Astyanax mexicanus: one gene and its partner. The protein of the gene in region 1 binds, or shares a complex with, the protein of each later gene. Links are inferred from orthologs where the notes say so. Each region holds a gene or a part of one and is shown on either strand. Other genes may lie near its edges.

The links.
Region 2: the proteins of prelid1a (region 1) and triap1 are in contact, whole or in part, in a crystal structure (PDB 6I3V), measured with the Homo sapiens proteins. The link is inferred for Astyanax mexicanus from reciprocal best matches to the Homo sapiens genes PRELID1 and TRIAP1. Residues at the interface, in NP_037369.1 of Homo sapiens: Trp15, Asp16, Phe19, Ala20, Trp23, Gln24, Tyr26, Pro27, Val34, Leu35, Thr36, Glu37, Asp38, Ile39, Val40, His41, Arg42, Val44, Gln48, Lys49, Leu50, Leu51, Ser52, Arg53, Leu55, Thr57, Tyr79, Leu81, Asp83, Ser84; in NP_057483.1 of Homo sapiens: Met1, Asn2, Ser3, Val4, Lys12, Tyr15, Asp16, Phe19, Asn20, Trp22, Phe23, Phe27, Leu28, Gly30, Asp31, Ser32, Phe41, Tyr44, Gln45, Val48, Gln49, Ile52, Ile57, Pro58, Ile59, Leu62, Glu63, Phe64, Met65, Gly66.

What each region holds. Positions count from the first base shown.
Region 1 is NC_064417.1:34,115-46,126, forward strand, and holds prelid1a (PRELI domain containing 1a), read right to left. Parts: upstream 5,706-12,012; 5' UTR 5,591-5,705; intron 4,541-5,590; 5' UTR 4,511-4,540; coding exon 4,419-4,510; intron 4,303-4,418; coding exon 4,077-4,302; intron 2,841-4,076; coding exon 2,727-2,840; intron 2,427-2,726; coding exon 2,348-2,426; intron 2,237-2,347; coding exon 2,115-2,236; 3' UTR 1,376-2,114; downstream 1-1,375. Other genes in the region: npy7r (neuropeptide Y receptor Y7), read right to left, coding at 7,683-8,798. UniProt on the Homo sapiens protein: Involved in the modulation of the mitochondrial apoptotic pathway by ensuring the accumulation of cardiolipin (CL) in mitochondrial membranes.
Region 2 is NC_064427.1:3,254,861-3,265,299, reverse strand, and holds triap1 (TP53-regulated inhibitor of apoptosis 1), read left to right. Parts: upstream 1-5,887; 5' UTR 5,888-6,032; coding exon 6,033-6,179; intron 6,180-7,141; coding exon 7,142-7,219; 3' UTR 7,220-7,709; downstream 7,710-10,439. Other genes in the region: sgsm1b (small G protein signaling modulator 1), read left to right, coding at 74-198, 316-398, 500-609, 708-804, 937-1,104, 2,125-2,213; srsf9 (serine/arginine-rich splicing factor 9), read right to left, coding at 8,340-8,558, 9,335-9,507, 9,638-9,816, 9,948-10,105. UniProt on the Homo sapiens protein: Involved in the modulation of the mitochondrial apoptotic pathway by ensuring the accumulation of cardiolipin (CL) in mitochondrial membranes.

The DNA of each region.
Region 1 (12,012 bases):
AAACGGAAAAGTAAGCGAGGAAAAGGTTGAAAAACTCAAAACAGTTATTTACAGAGCCATTAAAGAGTGGAACTGCTTACCTGATTTCCTACTGAACGCTAATAGCAAAACAAGGTTCAAAAAACTAATTAAAAAACATTACCTAAAAGACATGGACGATATATGAATATCTGTCCACATGCAGAATGTGAACTATAAGGGATAGATTTAAAATAGTAATGATCAGTCATACCAGTTATTTTCTTAAAAAGTTTCTTAATCTTACTATCATTATTTTGTGTATGTATTGTCTATGAATTTGTGTACATCTAGTATACAAATATATGTTGTTCTCGTCTTTCTTTTTGTTTTGATTGCTTATTGTGTTGTAAAATGTATTTATTTGTATAGAACTTTTTTTTGTTATGTGCATTTTACTATGACGTGTGATTCATATTTATGTGTGAGATGTTAGTTGGACCTCAGGAAGAATAGCTGCTATTGCAATAGCAGCTAATGAGGATCCAAATAAAACAACAATAAAACAATAAAGGGAGTTTTTTCTTGCCACTGTTGTCGCCACAATTACTGCCATCTCTGTGGTGCTGCTCATAAGAGGCGTTGACCTGTTTTCACTGTAAAACTGCTTTGTGACATCAAATAAGTTTAATAACATTACTATAACAGTCCATAAACCAGTGAATTAAATTACAATTATGCAGGTAATGTTTTTTTAATGATAAAATGTTCCATATTACTAAATAATTAATTACCAGAAACTTCTATGTTAGAAAAACATTGAGTTCGACCATCTGACCAATTATTAAGTATTTAACAGTTACATTTGTACATATCACATTTAATATTTGATGCATAATTTATTTTTTTAATTATATATAAAACAAAAGTTTAATCCCTTATTCTTGGAGTTGCCTTTACATTTTTTTACATTTTCCCACTGGATGGAATAGCCACTAGGGCGCAGAAAACATATCTCTGAAAATGTTTCATTGTTTTTTTATTAATTCAATTAGATCTTAATGCATTATTATTAGTTATATTATATATATATATATATATATATATATATATATATATATATATATATATATATATATATATATCATTTTCATTCCTTTTAATATACTGAGTAATTGTAAGCTCATTTACATTTGCATTTGTAATACATTAATTCATTTATAATTAAATCATACAAATAAAATGAAATAACTTAAGCCTGATTCATGGAAATTAATTTGAACAAAATAACCCAGTCTCAAAAAGACCAGTTCACTGAGGTACCCCCTTTGTGGAATTATCCCTTTATTTATATAAATGTAATATTATGTATCAATTTGGCACCTAAATTCACACCAAAAAAAATTCAACACATTCATTTAAATTAATGACATCAGTTTAATGAAAGAACATGACCTGTGCTGGATAGAAAAACGTTTATTGACAGTAAGCAAATTGTACTTATTTAAGAGCTTTACCATTTGTTTATACACTTTATAATTATTGTTTTGCTTACAAGTTAATTGTGAATCAAGCATATCCACAGACACTGCCGTCCACTGCAATCCTTTCTTCCATACTTTTGAACACTGGTGCAGTATTTAAACATCACTTTATGTGGACCCATCAACGCACATATCACTTCAATTTGAAGCAATGAAGTAACTGTACACAGCAGAATAAAAAAAGACATTGATCATAAGGGCACATTTCAATCAGTTTTGGATCATATCCTTTATAATTAACAAATCACAACAAAAGCAAATCAACAGAAAGACATAAAAGAAATGTGTAAAACAACCATGTAAAAGAAAGCAGGAAAAGTAAGGATTTGGAACAGATACACGTCTCACACTTTCTATGCAAGGCATAAGAAGATGTTGTACCTGTGACAGTTAAACTTATTTTACAGGTGGAAGGGCACATTGATCAGGGGTAGGAATGGGGTTCACGGAGTTTGCTGGACTAACGGAAGAGGGAAGGCAATCCAGCTGCTGGAGAAGTGCTACAGTGAACCCGGATACCTTTACAAACTGGAACGGACAGACCCTTTTCAGAAAGCCTCAGCAAATTCAAGCACAGGCTTGAGAAAACAATGTCAAGTGTCAGTCTTCAAGTCATACATATTGTTTCTTCTGTGCTTGAGAGGCGAAGCCTTTCGCCTTCTCTTTAGCAGCAAGCGCCGTTTCTCTGGCCCTCTCAGTCGCCGTCTCTGCCAGCGTCCGTGTAGGAGTTTCACCTGCATAACAGTTAAATGTAGCTTAGCAAAAGATAGCATTAAAACCAATCTAATAACTTAGAATGTCCCCTTATTCATACAATACCACACATGAAGAACTGGAATTCTTACCCTGCATTTTGGCCAAGACATATTCAAATCCTTTCATAGTCTTTGTGACACTGCTCTTAAATCTCGCCAGGCCAAATTCCTGTAGAGAAAACAGAGGCCATTTAGAGAAATGAAAATTCATGCTGTTGCCAAGAAATGCTGAAGGTTAACTGAAGTAATTTAAGCACAGACTAAACAGCTGCTCAGCTGTCAGCAGACCACATATACACTCTCATGACCAGTCTGTACTGGTTGTGCTATTTATAGTACCCGCTGGTAATTTTATAGGTTATAACAGTAATACAGCACAAAATGACAGACAGTGCCGGCACCATGTTACTCAAAACCCCCAGGATTTTCCTGTGTTTCCACACTAACGACCGCCCTTTAGCCCACTGACCTGAACTGCTCTGGAAAGGCCGTAGAGGCTGGAGGAGATCCAAGCCTCTCTCTTGATCTCTGTCCAGTTGCTATTGTCAGGGTTCACTCTGTACACACAGCGCTCCTCCACAGACTGCAGGCAGAAAAGCATAAACAAGTTACAACTGCAAACAAAACTAGCTGGTGCAAAACTAAACAGGGGATTTTACCACAAAAATTCAGAAAAGTATAATTAACATGTTTTATTAAGTGGGTTTTTATTGTTCTTTGGCTATGAATCTGAATCTTTGGCCTGGGTGATGGAAGGCGTCCAAAAAGGCTCTCATTATTAAGCCATTTCAATTACAAAAATCCATTACAGATGTAAACAACCAAGACACTTGTCATTGTAATGCATGGCTTATGTTAGAACTGAAGCATCATCAGCAAAATCACTTAATTTTAAATAATTAATTTCTTGTTTAGCAAAATCTAAAATTAATATAATTAAAATATAGAATTTTCATTGAAATGATAAATGTGATAATATACAGTTCTAAGCTCTGCTACACTGAACACATGATCAACACCTGTTTCTGCATTTTGGTTTTAATTTAGACCTACATTTTAACACTAGATTTTAATACTGCTTTCATATTGCTTAGCCAACACAGTTATGTCAAGTCAGTGTTATTTTCACAGTAGCACAATAAAAATGTACACCATTCATCTGAAATCAACAATCCCTTCAGTCCTGTTTACCTCAGTTAGAGATCCTTTGTTAGTGTGGTTTATCACATTTAATAGTTTAACCATTTCAGATCTTTTTAGAAACTATTTAAATCAAATTAAAGAAATTAAACTTAGCACAGTTTATTTTTTTCACACAAACTAAAACTTTTACACATTTACTTTCACTAACAGCAGCAAGTAAAATGATTTGCCTGATTAGAAACTACACAAAAAATGTAATAAAAAAATAATATCATCATGTTAAGTATGAAAGATTATTAGCATATATTTTTAGAATATGCCAATCCTAATGCATTTTGTACGAATACCAAAACATTGTGATAAATACTGTGACTATCTTTATATATCGTACTATAATTTTTTAACCATATCGCTCAGCCCTATAAGTAAATGACATACATCACAAGTGCTGATTTGTTAAATCAATATCAGAATATATCTTTTACCAACCAAAATTAAGAAATATGTTGTGATATTATGATTTTTCTATCACATGGTTTAGTCATATACAAGCCAATAACTTCATTCACTGTATTACCATAAGGGCTCGGCAACCAAACTAAGAATTTAGCCCGAATACAACAGAAAACAATACAAGACTAACAGAAAGGTTTTTAACAGATTCAGTGCAGCTCACCATAACACGTGCATGGCTGATATTCCATGTGAGAGTGACCATTGTTCTGTTGTTAGAATCCACTACAGAGTCCTCAATGATGTAGGCCTTGCGTGCCATGTGACTGGGCAAGAACTTCTCTGCCCAGCGTGGTGCTCGGCTGGTTTTGGTCAAGAGGCGTCTGGAAAGGAGACGGTTATCAGGAGTCACCTCCCGAAAGACAATGTCTTCAGTCAAAACATGATTACTGAGGAGAAGGAGAAAAAAAGGGATTATGTGAGAAAACTGTCTTACTTCTACATGATGATCCAAGTCACCTTTGGTATATCACTAAACAGTTCACTGAAAAAGCTTCGGTTTTACCTGTAAGGGTTTGGGTATCTTTGCCAGAATGCTGCAAATACTTGGTCCCATGTTCCTTTAAGAAATCCTACACAGCTGAAATACTTCACCATTGTTCCCAATTAAACCACATAGGCGAAGAACTGCAGGCAGAACACACATTTCACTGATGATTAGACATGTTAACTTAGCAAAATGAAATGATCAATATAACTGTATATTTTCAAGCTAGCTGAAGTGCTACAGTTGGTGTAAGTCTGTGGATAGTTCCACCATTCTCCAGACTGGGGTTTAATTTCACAGCTGAGCAGCACATGAGCCTTAACCTCACACTCACCTACTGGTGTAACATGATTCAAACACTGGATAGAAGCATTAGACAAATGCTGTAAATGTGCAACACTTTTCTGATCAAGATAATGCGTTGCTGGAAGGCGGATTTACTAGTAGAAACTCTCATTTCAGATATCAGGTCTGAAATATTTACTAGTAATAATGCCTGAATTTACAGATTTATTATCCATTGTGATTAATCATATTACCTGGATTACATAGTATTTATTTTAATTTATTAACATAGAATTTCATTCACTTATCTATCATAAAATTGTATTTGTAATTAAAAACTGCAGTAATAGATGTACAGAATTATCTTTTTACTACTAAACATTGTAGTTCACATTTCTGGTCAAAATTACAATGAAAATAGAAGAACCATTTCTACTAGAAAAAAGTAACTGTAGATCTGTAACTGGACATTTACTAGTAAAAATAAAAGAGTAAAATAACCAATCAAAATTACATTAAAGATGTTCTGACCTGGTAATATGAGTAGTCAGAACGGATTTAGTTATCTGGTATTATTACATAATACCAGATACATAAATAACCCAGATATAAAAAAAACACTCAATATAAATAACCCTAAAATAAAAAACAATATAAATACCGCAAATATAAACACCGCTTATATAAATAAAGTTAATATAAACAGCTGCTGTCCTTGAGTTTCAGACTCTGTCCCTTATCGCAGCGCGCTAGCTTTAGCATTAGCATTACCGTGTCCTCCAGGTACAGAGCAGGCTAGGCTAGCGGCTAACCACTAAATGAAAACACAGAATTACTTCTTTACAAAGTAACTGAAACTGGGGTCTGGAGAAGCAGCGGACTCGTGCGGGCGGTCAGATATTTACCGGGCTGCAGGAAAAGCGGTTTTACTGCGGATTCTTTATCATTTCTCCTCCGCCCTCCTCCTGCGCGCTCACACCACGAGAAAGACTTACTTCCGGCCAGAGAGCAGCTGATGCAGGGCTGACCCCGCCCCTCAGCAGGGTGCGTCCGTATTTCCACTCCCTATAAACTACACCTTACTCCCTATTCTCTACCCCTACCCCCTTCTCCATATTTCCTACCTCTAATCCTTATCTTCAACTCTCTAATCCCTTTCCCCTACTCCCTATCCCCTACTCTCTACCCCCCCCCCCCCACTCCCCATCCACTTCTTCCTATTCTCTATTCTCTACCCCCTACTCCATGTTTCCTACCCCTAATCCTTATCCTCTAGGACCCCTAGTCGCTAATCCCTTTCCCCTACTCTCTACCTCCTATTCCCTACCCACTTCTCCCCATCCCCTACTGCCTACACTATATTCTCTGCCCCTTTCTCCGTACTCCCTACCCCCTACTCCCTAATCCCTACCCCCTATTACCTACCACTTACCCCTAACCCCTAATCTTCTGATTGGTGGAGAGAATGTTTTGGGTGCTTTAGAATAAAACAACTGACTGGCTGAGGCAGAGCAGCTCATCTCATATAAAATAGTGGAAAGAACCTATACTTTTGTTCAATAGAGAACACGTGTTTTATTTCTAAATTAAGGTATTATTCCATATTTTAAAGGATGGTTCGCAAACCTAGGACTGAAAAGTGGCTCTAAATCTCATGAAGTGATGTTGAAAGGGTAACACCTAACATGATGTTAAACATTACCAATACTCATACTAATACTAATATGATTAAAGTGGCAAAATGTTGGCATACATTTTTAGTTGTAAAACCTGCAAGTTGCCACTGTCTTACTTTATTCAGTTAGTGCCCTAGAGTGGCTATAAATGCCCCACAAAGACTAATGTATAATAATGTATGTAAAGTATGCTTTTGAAAATAAAAAAGTGATATTTAAAAGAAATCTGGAATTTATATTAATTTAAATGTAATGCGTTTACAGATAAAACTATTTTACAAGAAGATTGCTACTAGAGTTACCTTGCAGCCTCTCGTTAATTCCAGCAGGGGGCAGAATGTTCTCACATTTTACCCTGAATCAGCTCCTCCTACAGATATACAACATATCATTGTAACAAATCTTCAACTGAAGGCAAATAAAAAATAAACATTAAATTGTACATGTTGATATTTATAATATAACAAGAGTAATCGCAACCCAGTAAATGACATGACTGGATCTGACTTTTAGTTTCAAGCACGATATAGGAGAAAACACACACACACACACACACAAATAAGAACAGAAATTAAGTGAAAATGATGCAAAAAAGGTTCTTGGGCCTGTAATCATTCTCCTTTAATCGTTTTTAGCATCATAAACATTCCTCATGTGACAAATCTGTATAATTATGACTTGTGGGTAGATTCTGAATCTTATAACATGTGGTTAGGTTTTCCTGTCGCTGACAAGCTGTCCTCAAATCTTGTAATCTTTAATACACAGGTGACTTCCAGCACCAGTTAGCATTATGAGTGGTAATTCTTTTTTAGTAACAGATACAATGACAAACATCAACATAGCCAATGTTTTCTGGATGCCGTTATGCCGCTGTTTGAAATGCAGAGAAATAACAAATTAAGCACTTTCTGGCCTCCTCTTATCATTTAAATGTTATCCATCTGCTACAGAAGGCTGGGTGCTCCAATACTGGACTTGGGTGATTAAGCTATTAAACAGGCCTCGTCTGTCATCAGAGCAATTTTAATCATGTAGCTTTCTCATGTAAATTTTAATTTACCTCCATTCAAATCAGAACAACACAATGAAACTCTCGCATCTTTTAGTTTCATCTTTGCACTTCCATTATAATAACTAGACTGACAAGCACTGATTATAAACTGTTATTAGCTAAATGTAGTACCTTATACATAATAAAACACATGCAATCTGCTGAATATATCTGAATACGAAAAGCAAATAAGGTCAGGGTTATGAGGATCACAGCAGGTTCTACACTCCTAGAGGGTCCTTCTTGGTTTATGAGCAATATGGAGGGTCAGACTGCGGTTGCGGGATGCCCATCATTGTATCCGTTGACCATCAGTCCTCGCAAAGACCGGGTTCGGAAGGAGCCCTCGGGGTGGATAGTGTCTGGTTTATGTTCACAGCGGAAGAACATGAGGAAGCCGTTCCTGTAGTTCTTGTTCATCCAGCCATAGAGCAGCGGGTTGGTGAAGGTGGAGCACATGGCCACGATGTGAAACAAGGTGTAAAGAAGCTTGTACTCTTTGAACTTGAGGACCAGGTCAAGGTCACTGGCCAGCTGGAACACGTGAAAGGGAAGCCAGCACACAGCAAAGACCACAACCACCAGGGCCAGCATCTTGGTTGTCTTTTTGCGTCGGCTGATGTTGTCGTTACGGTTGGATGGACTGACATGGTTCTTCAGCTTGACCCAGATGCACACGTAAGCATAGCTTATTATCCCTAGTGGAAAAACATACTGCAGAAGAAGCATGGAAATGCTGTAGATGATGGCGTCCCGATTGGTGCCATGGGGCCACTTTTCAGAGCACACGGCGATCCGTAAGTTAATGTATGGGATTTCCTCGTAACGGTATTCCCTGAAGATAGCCAGAGGCCCAGCCAGGATGGCTGCGAAGGCCCAAGTCAGGGTGATGATGATAAAACTAGTACACCTGGTGAGCCGCTGGCCCAAGTGGAACACGATGCACCTGTAGCGTTCAAGAGCGATGACTGTGAGGGTCAGTATGGACACATGGACGCTTAGAGCTTGGGCGTAAGGCACCATGTGACACATCACTGCCCCAAACTTCCACTCATCTAGTAAAGTGTATGCCAGTGTGAAGGGTAAGCACATAGTGTCCACCATCAAGTCGGCCAAAGCAAGGTTGGCAATGAAGTAGTTGGTAACAGTGCGCATGTTTCTGTAGAGAACGATCATGTAAATGACCAAGGCGTTTCCCATCAGGCCAAGCAAGATTATAAGTGTATAAGCTGTTATAAGGGCAATCTGAACGCTCAGGTGCTTTGTGATGTCATCCACAAACACAGGTTTATGAAGATCCATGGTGTCATTGCCCAGGTTGTGGTCTTCTCCTCCTCCACAGGCTACTTCACTCGTGCCGTTTGCTGGATCCGACGGGCCCATGATGTTCTAAAAGTCTTCTCAGATCAGTCCAAGAACTTTCAGCGTGTACCTGTTGCAGAAAATAAAGTCACTGTTATTTTATAAAAAATATATATTTTCTTGAGCTTGCAAGAGTATAGAGTTGTGTATGAAATCATTAACTGGTTTTCTATACATGGATTAAGTCTAGTTTTGGATTGAAGATTGGTCTAATAAACAAGCCCTATAATTAGGCTGCGTCCGAAATCGCGTACTTCCATACTAAACAGTATGCAAAAGCAGTATGCGAGATCGGGTAGTGTGTCCGAATGCGCAGTAGGCGAGTTTGAGTACGCGAAAAGTTCCCGGATGACGTACTGCACCGGGAGACATTTTTAAGTATACAAGCCCAGCACACTTCACCCGCTAATATTTCCCACAATCCACCGGGAGCCGCGCTGAGCTGAGTGACCCGTCAGTGAGCGGCGGAGCGGCGGGGGAGAGGAGTGGAGAGAGAGAGAAGTTTATGAGGTGAGGAGATTCAGATATATAAACTGTTTTGGTTGTTTGTGATATCAGGCTGTAAATGAAAGATTTATGAGGGTTAGTTTAAGTTAAAGTAGCGAGTTATAGGGGTGTGGGTTTGTTATTAATGCTGTTGCAGACAGAACATCTTTATTTTCGTATCTGAACTGCTTTACTGAGCAGCGTTAGCCCTGTGCTACTGAGATCAGTTAGCTTAGCTAGAGTTATCAAACTTATCACAACTCTTTATTAATCTTCTGTTCTACAACACCAGCGTTTACTAACTCACTACAGCCCTGTATACTGCTGCAGTGCTGAAGAGCTGGGGCAGTTTTAACTTAATACTGATCAGTCTGTATAAACTCATCTGAGGAAAAAGGCTGCTGATATCAGAGAGGCTTTTCAACAGACAGACAGACTGGTTGCCAAAAATCACATTAATAAATTATAACCAAAATCTGACCATTTCATTTAGTTTTATTAAATAGCTAGCTAACCAGCCAGGATGGTAAGACTTTTATGTTGTTCAGAATTTATATTATATTTGTTTAATGACCAAGCTAAACTGTTTTAATCTGTGTGTGTTTCAGATTCAACTATCCTTCCTACTCGAGAGGATGAAGATGAAGAGAGGGAGAAAAAAAAAAATGAACAATGAATAAAAAAAATAAATAAAGCTACTTTAAAGACTTGTCATTCTTGTATTTTGTGAGAAATGTATTTGTGTAAATATGCAAGTGAGGGAAAAATTATATTAAATAAAATAACTAAAATATTTTTTTATTGCCAAATATGATTCCCAGTTTTCCAGAAACTGACTGGTTCTAGCATATTTTATTTACATCAGTAATGCATATATGTTGCCTTTATGTTTAATGCAGTCAGTAAAAGATAATGTATAACAATAAGGATCATGTGTTTAAATATTTAGGCTAGAAAAGGAAATTCTGAGGTGAAATGGAAAGGCAGGAATTAATTAACATTTTGGTATTTATCTTTGAAACTTTTTGATAATTGTTTTGTTGCATAAGCTAGTATTATTAATATACTTCATGAATAATAAACAGTCTGTTCATATTTATTATTAAATATTTCATATTTGAGGAAATATTAATTTTAAGTTTTATTTACAGTCAGTGTTTATTAAATAGGACAGTTTGGGGGTTTATTTATTAATAAGAGCTGATTAATGAGGGGATTTTAATTAAATTAATTAGGGTAAAGCTCTGTAAAGTGTGCCGCTGGTTAGGAGGGGTGAGAGGTGAAAGGGCGTCAGAGGTAAGATGGTGGATGTAGTGCGTCCGAGGCTGCGTGCGTACTGCGGTCTGGCGTACTGAAAAAGCGTACTGCTTTGCTCGACAAGCAGTGCGTACTCACCCCAATCCAGTACGTACTGCTTAAGTACGCGATTTCGGACGCAGCCTTAGTTGAGATATGCTGTTGAAATTACTTAATTAATGTATCCTATATAACAGTAATGTAAAAATGTAAACTACTGCAAGTACAATGAGAGCCTTAAAAGTGCATCTGGCTCTGCTTCTGGTCTATACTGCGCAGAATCTGGTTGCTTTTCATGGCTTCATTTTTTGGACTGGAAATGACAGGCATAAATGTCTCTACATTTTTTACAACAAAAAGTCCACCTCCAGGAAGAACAATGTTAACATGACTGAATTTAAAGATGGGCGTGTCTGTGTTAAGGTTAATTCTGCAGTGACCTTCAATCTGTCAGTAGGAATCACTGAATGGAGCAGCAAAATACGTGTGTATTTTGTTCACCCCTCCCACACGTGCTGAACATTCTTCGTCTTGTGAAATGGATCATGACCCGAACAAAGGACTATATTGCCATTTAAGCCGATTACCCGACTTCAAATATAATAATGTCCTGCTGCAGGGTCCACTGCTGAGGGGGGAGCAGAATATTGGCAATAAGCAGCTTGATATTTGGTCTCTGGTCATCAGGGACTTGAAAACAAATCTAGGGGACTTGGGTGGCCTTTTAAAGTATAGATCAGACAGTCTTTCAAAAGGCTTTCTCTTTGTTGGTTTTTACAGCAATTATAGGCACGTGTGTGATTATTAGGCTGTCAGAACTATTTAATAGAGCCTTCGTAAAATACCTGGGGCCCACTGTATATATTTATGAAAAGCACTTGTGCTTCCATTTGTTGTTACGCAGCAGGTCATTTCGAAGCAATTACGATGTCTCATTTAAAACCAGCCGAAGAGCACTTTGTAAGAAAGTCTTGTAACGTCGCAAATGTTTTCAATCTTGTGTAAAACAGGTTCCCGCTTTTCTCCTCTATAGCAGACAGAGATTACTTCTTATTGCAGTGCTCTGTCAGCAGCCAGCCAGCAATAAACGATTAAGCTAAAACTTAGTGCACCCTTTGTAGCTTTGTTGTCATATGGTTGCTTCTGTGTCAACTGAGGATAGTATCAATAAAAGAAATGACTTATTTAAGTATCTCTCTGAACTTTAAATTCCCGCTTCTTCTAGGCCTTTTGAAGAGGATCCTTCTGAGATGCAGCACAGTTTGCTGAAAGGTCATCTCCTTAGTGACAGACGGTCTTTGCATCGAGAAAAGAAGTGTCCATTCATTTTACCTGGTCATTGAAAACATCTACACATATGAAGACGTGAAGTGGCAATCTGAATCACTCACGTCTTCAAGGGCTTGGTGGAACAGAAAGGTGAAATTACTATACAGTTATTACATTGGGAAAA
Region 2 (10,439 bases), on another chromosome or scaffold:
GCAAGTTGCAAAAATGTGTGAACCCCTGCTTTACATTTTTTTTAAATGACAGTTGTTACTTTTTCTTTTACAGCAAGAGCTGCTGGACTTGTACACCCTCAATCTGCACCGTATCGATAAAGACGTCCAGCGCTGTGATAGAAATTACTGGTATTTTACCACAACAAATCTGGAGAAACTGCGTAACATCATGTGCAGGTGAATCTGAAATACGCTGGTTATTTAGCTGCTGCTGTGTGTTTCTGCACATTGACTGAAAACACAGATACCTAAATATCTTTTTTAATTTGGCTTTTTGCTTGATTTTCCTTGTAGCTATGTTTGGCAGCATCTGGATATCGGCTATGTGCAGGGAATGTGTGATTTACTCGCGCCTCTGCTTGTTATTCTTGACGATGGTACGTTCACACTCAGTTTGCATTATTCTCTTAACCTTTAGATTGTATTGTTTAAGACTGATATGGACAGCTTGCTAATCAAACCCCTTTGTTTTTGTTAGAGGCCATGGCTTTTAGCTGCTTTACGGAACTCATGAAGAGGATGAACCAGAACTTTCCGCATGGAGGAGCTATGGACACTCACTTCGCCAACATGCGCTCGCTTATTCAGGTACGACCTCATTAAAACACGTTTCTAAAGCAAGCGTGGGGTTATTGTGTCTCTAGTTTCTGTTTCTAGTGAGGATTTTTCTGTTTTTTATTTTTCAGATTCTTGATTCTGAACTCTTTGAGCTGATGCAGCAGAATGGAGACTACACCCACTTTTACTTCTGTTACCGATGGTTTCTTTTAGACTTTAAGAGAGGTACGTATTTTTATGTAGAACCGGGATATCTGTGCATATATGTGTATATGTCTATATTTTTTTTATTTTCGCTTCCAAAAGGGTTAAATTTGATGTATCTCATTTTTCTGTTGTTTCTGTGTCCCTCCTAAGAAATGGTGTATGACGATGTGTTCTCTGTGTGGGAAACCATCTGGGCTGCCCGCACCATCTCCTCTGGCCACTTTGTGCTCTTCATTGCCCTGGCCCTGGTTGAGCTGTACAGAGACATCATTCTGGAGAACAACATGGACTTCACTGACATCATCAAGTTCTTTAACGGTAAGACGGCTCTCAGGTCGTTTTGGAGCGTTTCTCCCTCTGTTTGGTTTGGTTTCACACAGGCACAAATTTAAATGCACGAAAATACGGATCAATAAACCACACAAGCACATTCTCTCCTCTGATTGGTCAGAGCTGTCTGCCATGAAAGCAAGAAAGTAAATATAGTGAGAAGATTCTGTGTTCTGGCGTATATATATATATATATATATATATATATCTGTGCATTTTAAAGCTGTGAGCAGTGAACGCTGCACATGAAGCATGTGTAAACAGCATGGAGCAGCAGAGACCATGTTTGTTCATAGCTGTGGTAATTATTTGCCATTATCTGGCTAATGTTTCAGATTAAACTGAACCTTATCAGCAGTTTAGCTTAAATAAAAGGAGTATATTTGATATAGCTGGGTCGGATCAAGATCGGATCATGTTCTTACCACAAGCGAAACTACTCCAGAGTTTGTTTGTTTGATCAAACCTCACTAAGGGTACAAAAAACGAACCAGAGTCCGTTTTTACCTGACCGAATAGTGCAGGTGTAGAAACAAAAACAAAAAAAAACAACGCCAGATATGACATGGGTCCCACTGTGTCCCATGACTTTTGGCATGTGCTGTGTGAGCTAAAGAATGCTGCACTTATCTGTGAGATATGTGTGTGGGATCTCCTGCATTGAATGTGGTTGTGATTGACTTTTGCCGAAGACTGCTTGTCACTGGTTCACATGGACAATTCTAACCAGATGCCGCCAGTCACGATCCACCGTTGGCACTAATATTAGCCTCCCTGACTGGGACATATGTGACACTGTGGACAGTAGATCCAGATCCATAACTTTGGAATAATCTTTCAATTTTTATAAAGGAATGAGCCACAGCGGATAATTTTAAGTCTCTTTTATGTCTATTTTTTGTGTTAATTTGAATTAGGTTGGTGTTATATGATTTTATTGTAGAGCACTTTTTGTCTTTTAAATCTGCTGTATTAATAAAGATGAGTTGACTTGACTTGTTTCTACAGAAATGGCTGAGCGACACGACGTCCCGAAACTTCTGGTGATGGCCCGAGACTTGGTCCACAAGGTCCAGATCCTCATAGAGAACAAGTGATGTGGCGTCTCCATTTCTCCATCGGCGCTCCACCGTCTAATTAAAGAAAACTACTGCTTGTGCCCTATTTCTGCGTATCATACGTTTAAACCCAGCTGATAAAGCGCATCTTTCTCTTGACCTCCTGCTGAGAAGCTTCTCAGAGGGTTCTGTGCCGGGAAAACAGTGAGAGTTGGCCCAAAACACATTTTAAACTAATGTAGTGCTGGAGAACAACAACAGCCAAATAAAATGATAACACCTGGGAATATATATATATATATATATATATATAGATATATGGTTGATCATAGTTGATCAAAGTTTTGTATTGGAAAGACTGAAGTGGGCTGAAATGTTAATTACAGTACTAATGGTGATGATAACAGAACCAAATGATGTGTCTCTACCAACACAGATTCTTTGAAAAGCACAAAATATCCGTTTTTGCAAAATGTAGTATAAAGAAACCACTATATTCAGAGTGGTGATCACTGCTAAAAGACGTAGAACCCAGATTCTTAAAGTATTACATTACATTATGTACATTATGGCATCACAATATTTGCACGAAGAAGATAAAAAACCCCAGTCAGTGTCAGCACATCCTCCTGTTTTCAGGTATTATGAATTGAGCTTGTATTATACAAACAGAGTGATTTTCTTTTTTGTAATTATGACCTAAGCTTTCTGCCCCCCGGTGATGCTCGTCACTCTGTGACACTCAGTTTAGCTGCTACACAAGTATGTACCTCACTCAGCGAAACGACCTTAGTCGAGAAGAAAAGAAAAAAACAATCTATCTATAATAGAAGTATAATCTCGGAGATGTGTTTATTTTTATCAGTCTTTTTTGCCTTAAGTTCCTTGGTTTAGGGACAAGTGCCATGTGTTAGTTTCTGCTCAGTGAGTGATTTAAAACTACAAGGTCTCTGAATCAGAATGTGGGCCGAATGAAGAAGCCATTATATGTGAGACTCGTTCATGCGTTGATGTGTTTGGCATATACAGTAGAACAGTCACAGTTGTGTATAAAGGTTTTGGCATCCCCTTTATTCATTTTTGAAGTGAAAAGAAGGAAAAACTGCATAACAGAAAATGTAATTTAATGCAAATCACAATGCACATTCACGACTTGTTTTATGTGTTGAATGAAAAATAGTTGAGACGCAGATGGTTGGATGTCAGCAGGGGGCGAGTATTATTGATTGGTTGATCTGCATATTGTGATGTGTCTGTGTACCAAACTACACTGACACATCAATAAAATCACAATAAAAGCGTGTTTTTAAAGTTAGGAAATGTTTAGAAAAAATTAAGCAGGACTGGTATGTTTCATTAATTCAAATGAACACATTTCAGCTATTAATAGAACAAATTTGATGCTAGGTGTGAACAGGATTTTGGTAAGACCTGATATTTTTAGCAACAGGGTGCATTTTTACCCTGTAGGCGTAATTAAATTAATTTCAGCCCTTCAGATTAGAGGAATCTGTGATTGTTGAGTGTTATTTTCTAATAACATGTCTTGGTCTAATTAGGATAGTTAATAAAGGGTGTGAAAATCCAGAACTACAATTGTCAAAAATAATGATTTTGCTTTAGTATTTTGCTTTAGTTTTTAGTAGAACCCTTTCAGAACCTGCATCCATTACAATGGACATCATGTATTTTTTTTATTTATCTTTATTTTTAATTTTATTTATCTTTATTTTTAATTTTCACTATTTGAGAGCTGTTGTCCATCAGAATAGACTATAAACCAGCCAATGAACAAGTTTATACATCAATAAAACAGTAACATGGCCCCACCTACTGCAAAAACCTTGGAAAAAACAACAATACTAGAGCAACTGGGGCAAAGTAACAGTCATTTTTACTAATTTATTGTGATTTGGAAACCTTTTAATCATGTTTAGGAATGAATTGTGAAATACAAAAGGTCAGTATTAAATATAAAATGTTGTACACACGCTTCCAATGCAATTTATTTACAATTTACAATTTACAAAGATTTATTTGCTATATAGATTTTATAGTAGATTATTAGTCTTCTTTTCTGTGCATTACAGACAGAAAACTGCTTACTTAATTTTTTTAATCTCTATCACTGGAGATCATTCAGTTCTGAAGGGGTTAGCCAAATTAAAAATGAAAACTCTGTGTTAAGATTTGCAGTAAAAAAGGTAATTTACTTCATAAGTTGTGCTTTCTTCATTTAACTTCATAAATGAAACAGAAAACATGTAATCTGCACCGGGGTGCCCAAACTTTTACATACGATTGTATAACATTTACATGAAGAGTGTGTGTGTGTGTGTGTGTGTGTGTGTGTTATGCTCTGAACTACCAGCAACCGAAATTTTTGTATGGTTGTCTCATACTTTTAGCACTGGGTTCAGTGTGATTGTAGGAATCTGCTAAAATCTTGTAACTCAAACCAAGTGTTTTAAGTGCCAGTGTTCTCAACACTAACCTTCACCCGTCCATATCTGTGTGTTACCATTTCTTAATCGCTCTGTATACATTAGACTTCAGAAACCAATAGATCACACTATAAAAATATTCAGCGAAATGAAAAAAATTAAATTATTTGTGAATTGTAAAAAGTGTTGTATTTGAAAGTGACGATTTATTTATGAGAAACAGAAACCGACAGAAAGATAACCGAGACTATGTGAAAAGATTATATTCTATGCTTATATATTTTTATTGTAATCTGTGTAACTACATAGTATATTGTCAGAACGTCGTGCCACTAAAGATAATCTGTATTGTAATATGGAATAAATGTGAACTGTGGTGAACGCTTTGTGATTTGTTTCTTTTTATTTTAATATCATCTGTTAATCTGATCGTGACTGTTTACACTGAAGGGGATTTGCTAAAATGTACAACAATTTTTAGGGGAAAAAAATACTTAGTGTATAAATAGATACGGATGTTCACTAATGTACACTCTACAAAATATGCAGTCATAATAATAATTATAACCCTTTTAATATGTCATTAACATGAGATATTGTGTCACAATAACCATATACATCGCCATATATTATTAGTAGAAAACCAACATGTCGTAATTCTCACATAAAACATCTTGTAGAATAAACACATAGTTTAGCTAGCCTAAAAAGCTGTAAATTGTACTGTAAAAGCTTAAATATAGTAAATCTATGATTTCTCATTTCCTTTTCTTTTCAATATGGTTTACATTTAACATTACAGTTAACATTTACACAACATTTAATAACGATTAATAACATTTAATTAAGATACAACATTTCATATCATTTAATAGCGATTAAAACTTTAGCGAATTATAACATTTAATTAAAGTAATAACATTTTAAAATAATGAGTAATAATATTTGATAAATATTACTAGGATGGCATTTAATAATAACATTTATTAAAGATGATTAGCATTTAATAATATGCAATACCTTTTATAATATTTACTAAAGATTAATAACATTTAATAAAGATGAAAAACGTTATACGTTATAACGTTATATAATCACGTTATACCATTAAACAAAGCGTATTAAAATGTCATAAAATGAATAGGAATTTATTACATTTAATAAATATTTACAGCGTTTTATAACATTTAATAAAGATTAATAAAGATGAATATAGTAAAGCGGTGTTCTGTTGGTTTAACAGCAGCTGCTGCGTCATTAGAACGCGACCCGGCTGCTCTCTGACCACGTGATTCTGCAAAGTCAAGCGAGTCTCCTGCTGATCATAAACACAGAACCGACCCGCAGCAGAACCAGCTGAACCTTTTTGAACCTGTTAAAGCCCTGTAAGAACCGTGTTGGAGCCCCGCGGAAGATGAACAGTGTGGGGGAGGGCTGCACGGAGCTGAAGAGGGAGTATGATCAGTGTTTTAACCGCTGGTTCGCTGAGAAGTTCCTGAAGGGAGAGCGGAGTGGAGACCCCTGCACTGAGCTCTTCAAGCAGTACCAGACCTGCGTACAGGTACCCAACCCGCACAGCCCGCACAGCCCGGCCCTGCGGCTCTACAGCCCGGCGGAACACCGCCCCGGACTCCAGAGTTTAGAGATTATCTAGATAAAGCAGAACCTGATTTATCACCATCACTTTGTTACATTATTATGAAGATCAAAACCTACCGAGATATATTTACATTTAAACCCTTAAAAACATACATATTAAAACATTACATATCATTCACAGTTGGCGAAATGACAGAACATTAAATAGAAGAATATATATTTATTTCAAGAATATAATAGTGCATTACATATTATAATTGCATACAAAATGATATTGCACACCCCTAACTGAGATATTTAAAAAATCAAGAATTTGATCAGATTTGTAACAGAAGTCAATGATCCAGAATGATCAGTCATGATACTAATAATAATGCATTCCGAATATCTCCATATATCCAGGATTAAAGTAAAATAAATGATCCTGGACAGATTTAATATGTCAGAACAGTGTGAATTTTTCCTTTTGCTAAAAAAAAGCCAAAAAGTTGTACCTTGATGTGATACTTATTATAGATTGTCATAGATTATGTATATATAGAGTTTTTTGGAGTGTATTATTAGTATCTTAACATTCTGGATCATTGACTTCTGTTACAAATCTAATATATATTTTTTAAATATATATATATCTCAGTTAGGTGCATGTCTTACTATATTGTATGCAATAATACAATTTCTATTTTGTTGCAGTAGTGTACTCTTGAAATACCATTAAATATCGTGATATTATTTTAGGGCCTAGAAAAAGATGAGTGACTAGCAGAAATCAGTCCTTTAGCTTCTATAGGACACAGCACTAATCCCAAGATTTTTTGGCATGTCAGTGTATATGTAAATCTAGTATCTTAAATTAGACTAACTTATTATTTAAATTATTTTCCTGTTTTAACCACAGTGTTCTGATCAATAATCATTTTACAGAAAGCCATCAAAGAGAAGGACATTCCTATCGATGGTGTGGAGTTCATGGGGCCAAACAAGGAGAAGCCTGGCAGTTGATGTGATCTGAATACAGGGCTGCTGTCCTTCACCCAGACTCTATCCACGGCTGGATGGCCCACCTGATCTTCCTGAGCTGCACTGGTGACGTTTGCATCATCAGGAAACACAAGACATGAGGACTTGATTTTGGGACTGGGGGTAGAATGTAAAACTGAATGACTGAGTAATAAATGTATTGTAGGATCCTGGTACTACTTCAATATTTTAAACTCGGTCAGTGAATCACTAAAAAAGTGATATATCTGGTGGGTTTACTCAACTCGTCAGTAACTTGAGCATGCACGTCTCAGGTAGCTGGTGGAGGATGTTATGCATTCTTGCATTGAATGGCTGTTTAAATTATTGGGTAACTGGAATAACACGCAGCTATTACATATTAACATGCCTGAAAATGTGACTAAATAATGTGTTTTTGTATATTAATAGATTTGAGGAGTGGAAATCAAAGTGAAAAATATGAAGAAATAAAATGAATGAAATCCAGGAATTCTTATTGATGTACTTGTGTTCAATAATGACCAATGACCAACATTTGGGAGAACAATTTCATGACTCAATGCTTTATTTGAAAAAAGAAAAAAAAAAAAGCACTTTGCATACTTCCATTACGTGATACAAAAGGAGTGGGGGAAACACAGCAAAAACAATGCAAAAAAAAAAAAAAAACAATTAAAAAAGTTCATCCTTTCATTTAAAACAAACAAAAAAAACATAATCTACAGATTTTGAAGATTGATCAAATGACTGCAAATCCTGTCCCAACAACAGGTGTGTTTCACTAAAACCACTGAAGATGGACAAAAGTCAAAAGCATGATGACTATTCTAAATGCCACAAAGTTGAAGAAGTGTTCACACTTTCACAGGAGAATCCGGAGTGACGTTTTAGGACACCTGCTCCATCACATTCGTTCACTCTCTGTCTGGCAGCTGCCAGTTATCCAGCTAGAGGAATAATTTTGTTGAGACCGTTTCTGCACTTTGAAGGCCTTTGGGGTGTTTTAGTGACGGAATGTAAATTACAGAAGGTAAGAAACAAAGCAAAAAGAAAATTAAAAAGGTAGGAAATGATTCGTGGGGGTGGGGTGACTTGACCAGCTCTGGCGTTTCTTGGCTCTTTACCGATAGTGGCGTGGGGGCGGGCTGTGGTGCTGGGGTGGTGCTCGTCGAGGAGGGGGGCTATGACGAGACATATGGCGTGGAGGGGAGCGGTAACGAGGCGGGGACCCTCTGCTCTGATAGGGGGGTGAATAACGCCCACGAGACCTGGACCTGGAACGCGAACGACCCCAGCTTGTTCCCCTCTCCTCCAGAACTCTGATGTAGGCAGTCTCTCCCTGTGCAGCAAACGGAGAAACTGTTAAACAAATCACTCAGAAGCGCTTCCCTTAGTTTTTTTTTTTATTATTAAAAAGCAGTTCAGTTAATTTGTACATTTAATGAATAATTTAGCATTTCATCTTAAATACAGTTGCTGATAGCAGCAACAGAAACATTGTCCTATGGTTGTGTGGACCGCTAACCCAATGCTTATGTTCTTTTAAAATTCTCTATACTAGATGCCCTAATAGCTAAACTAGGCCCTATAGAAAAAGCCCACATAGCCTGATTCTGATTGTATTAGGGCAATATGACTTTTTATCATATTGTGTTAAATACTACGATAAACTCTACTTATAACAACATTATTAATTATATGTAACATTTTGATAAGTGGTTTCTAAGAATCTGCCACTACACATGCATGTTTTCTGCATGCCAAAACGATGCAATATTTTTTTTACCATATTGCCCAGCCTAAATTACTACTACACCATTTAAAAAAAAAAAAAAGAATCATTTGAAATACTAAAAACTACACTATTGACTTAGCATACAATAGAGATATGGAAATGACCACAATAGTTTTTGATGTGCGTTTACAAAAAAATATGATAAATACGTATCCTTTTATTCAACCATTTTTTCTTAACAGAATCTCATTTTTTGTGTGGATTTTTAGAATCTTAATTTTATTTAAGGGGTGAAAATGCATTATTATGCTATAATATTATATAATTACGTAATTTTTATTTTTTGTTGGACATAGTCTACCAAGTTTTTTTTTAATTACCTGGTGGGATCTGAACTCTGTCCCGTCCAGCCGACGCAGAGCATATTCCATGTCTTCCCGTCGAAGGAATTCAACCACTCCCTCGCCGTCCCTCTGAACATCAGCAAAGCACACATCTCCTGCTTCCCGCATGTGATCTTTCAGGTCCTGCCAGCTGCCAGTAGGAGGAAGACCTGAAATGAAAAATATAGAATTCATATCTCTCATCAATACGAATACACTTTTAGAGACCGACCACACATAAATATTACTAAATTCTTAGCTAAAAGAAATTCCAGAAAGGAGGAAAACCTTTTGACCTACCAGTCACTATAACCCGGAACTCAGATCGGCGAGATGGAGGTCCAAATCTTCCCCTTGGTCCTCCTCCTCCACCGACAGATCCACCAAATTTGGATCCTGAGGAACGAGGATATTCCACACGCAGCTTACAGTCTCCAAATCCATATCCATTCCTTCCATAGACAGCATCCTCCGCATCCCTATGGGAAGAGAGTAAAGTGCTCCTAACTTTCTTTCTACTGAGGGACACTTGAGAAATGTCTCCTCCATGTGTTTCCTGACGTCAGTCAGTCAGTGAGGGTGAAAATGAAACATCAGCCCTGGAACTCACCGTGGGTCCTCAAAACGAACAAAGGCAAAGGGGATGGTGCCTCGGTTGTTCTTCAGCTCGATATCCCGAATTTTTCCATATTTGAAGAAGAGATCCTCAATGTCCCTCTCCTGCACGTCCATGGGAAGGTTCCCCACATAGATCCTCCCGTCCGCCATAGCTCAAACCGGCCTTGCACAAACTGAACGGACCTGCGGATCTTCGAGGAGATACAGGGTTCCACAAAAGAGTGTTGAGGGACAATCCCGATTCAAGTCCGTCCTCCTAAAAGTGTCCTAATTAACTAAACTTTGGGTAGAGCAGCAGAAGTAGTAGTACATGTTGAGCTTTAGTAACACATCATAGGACCTCTCCAAGACCTCATCAGACTCTGAAAAACTTAAACACACAGGATAACCAGTGAGTAAAATCGTGCTTGCTACTTTAAAAATGATGCATCTGTTAATACTTAATACTATATTCTATCATGTTAAGAAAACTCAGAATTAAGAT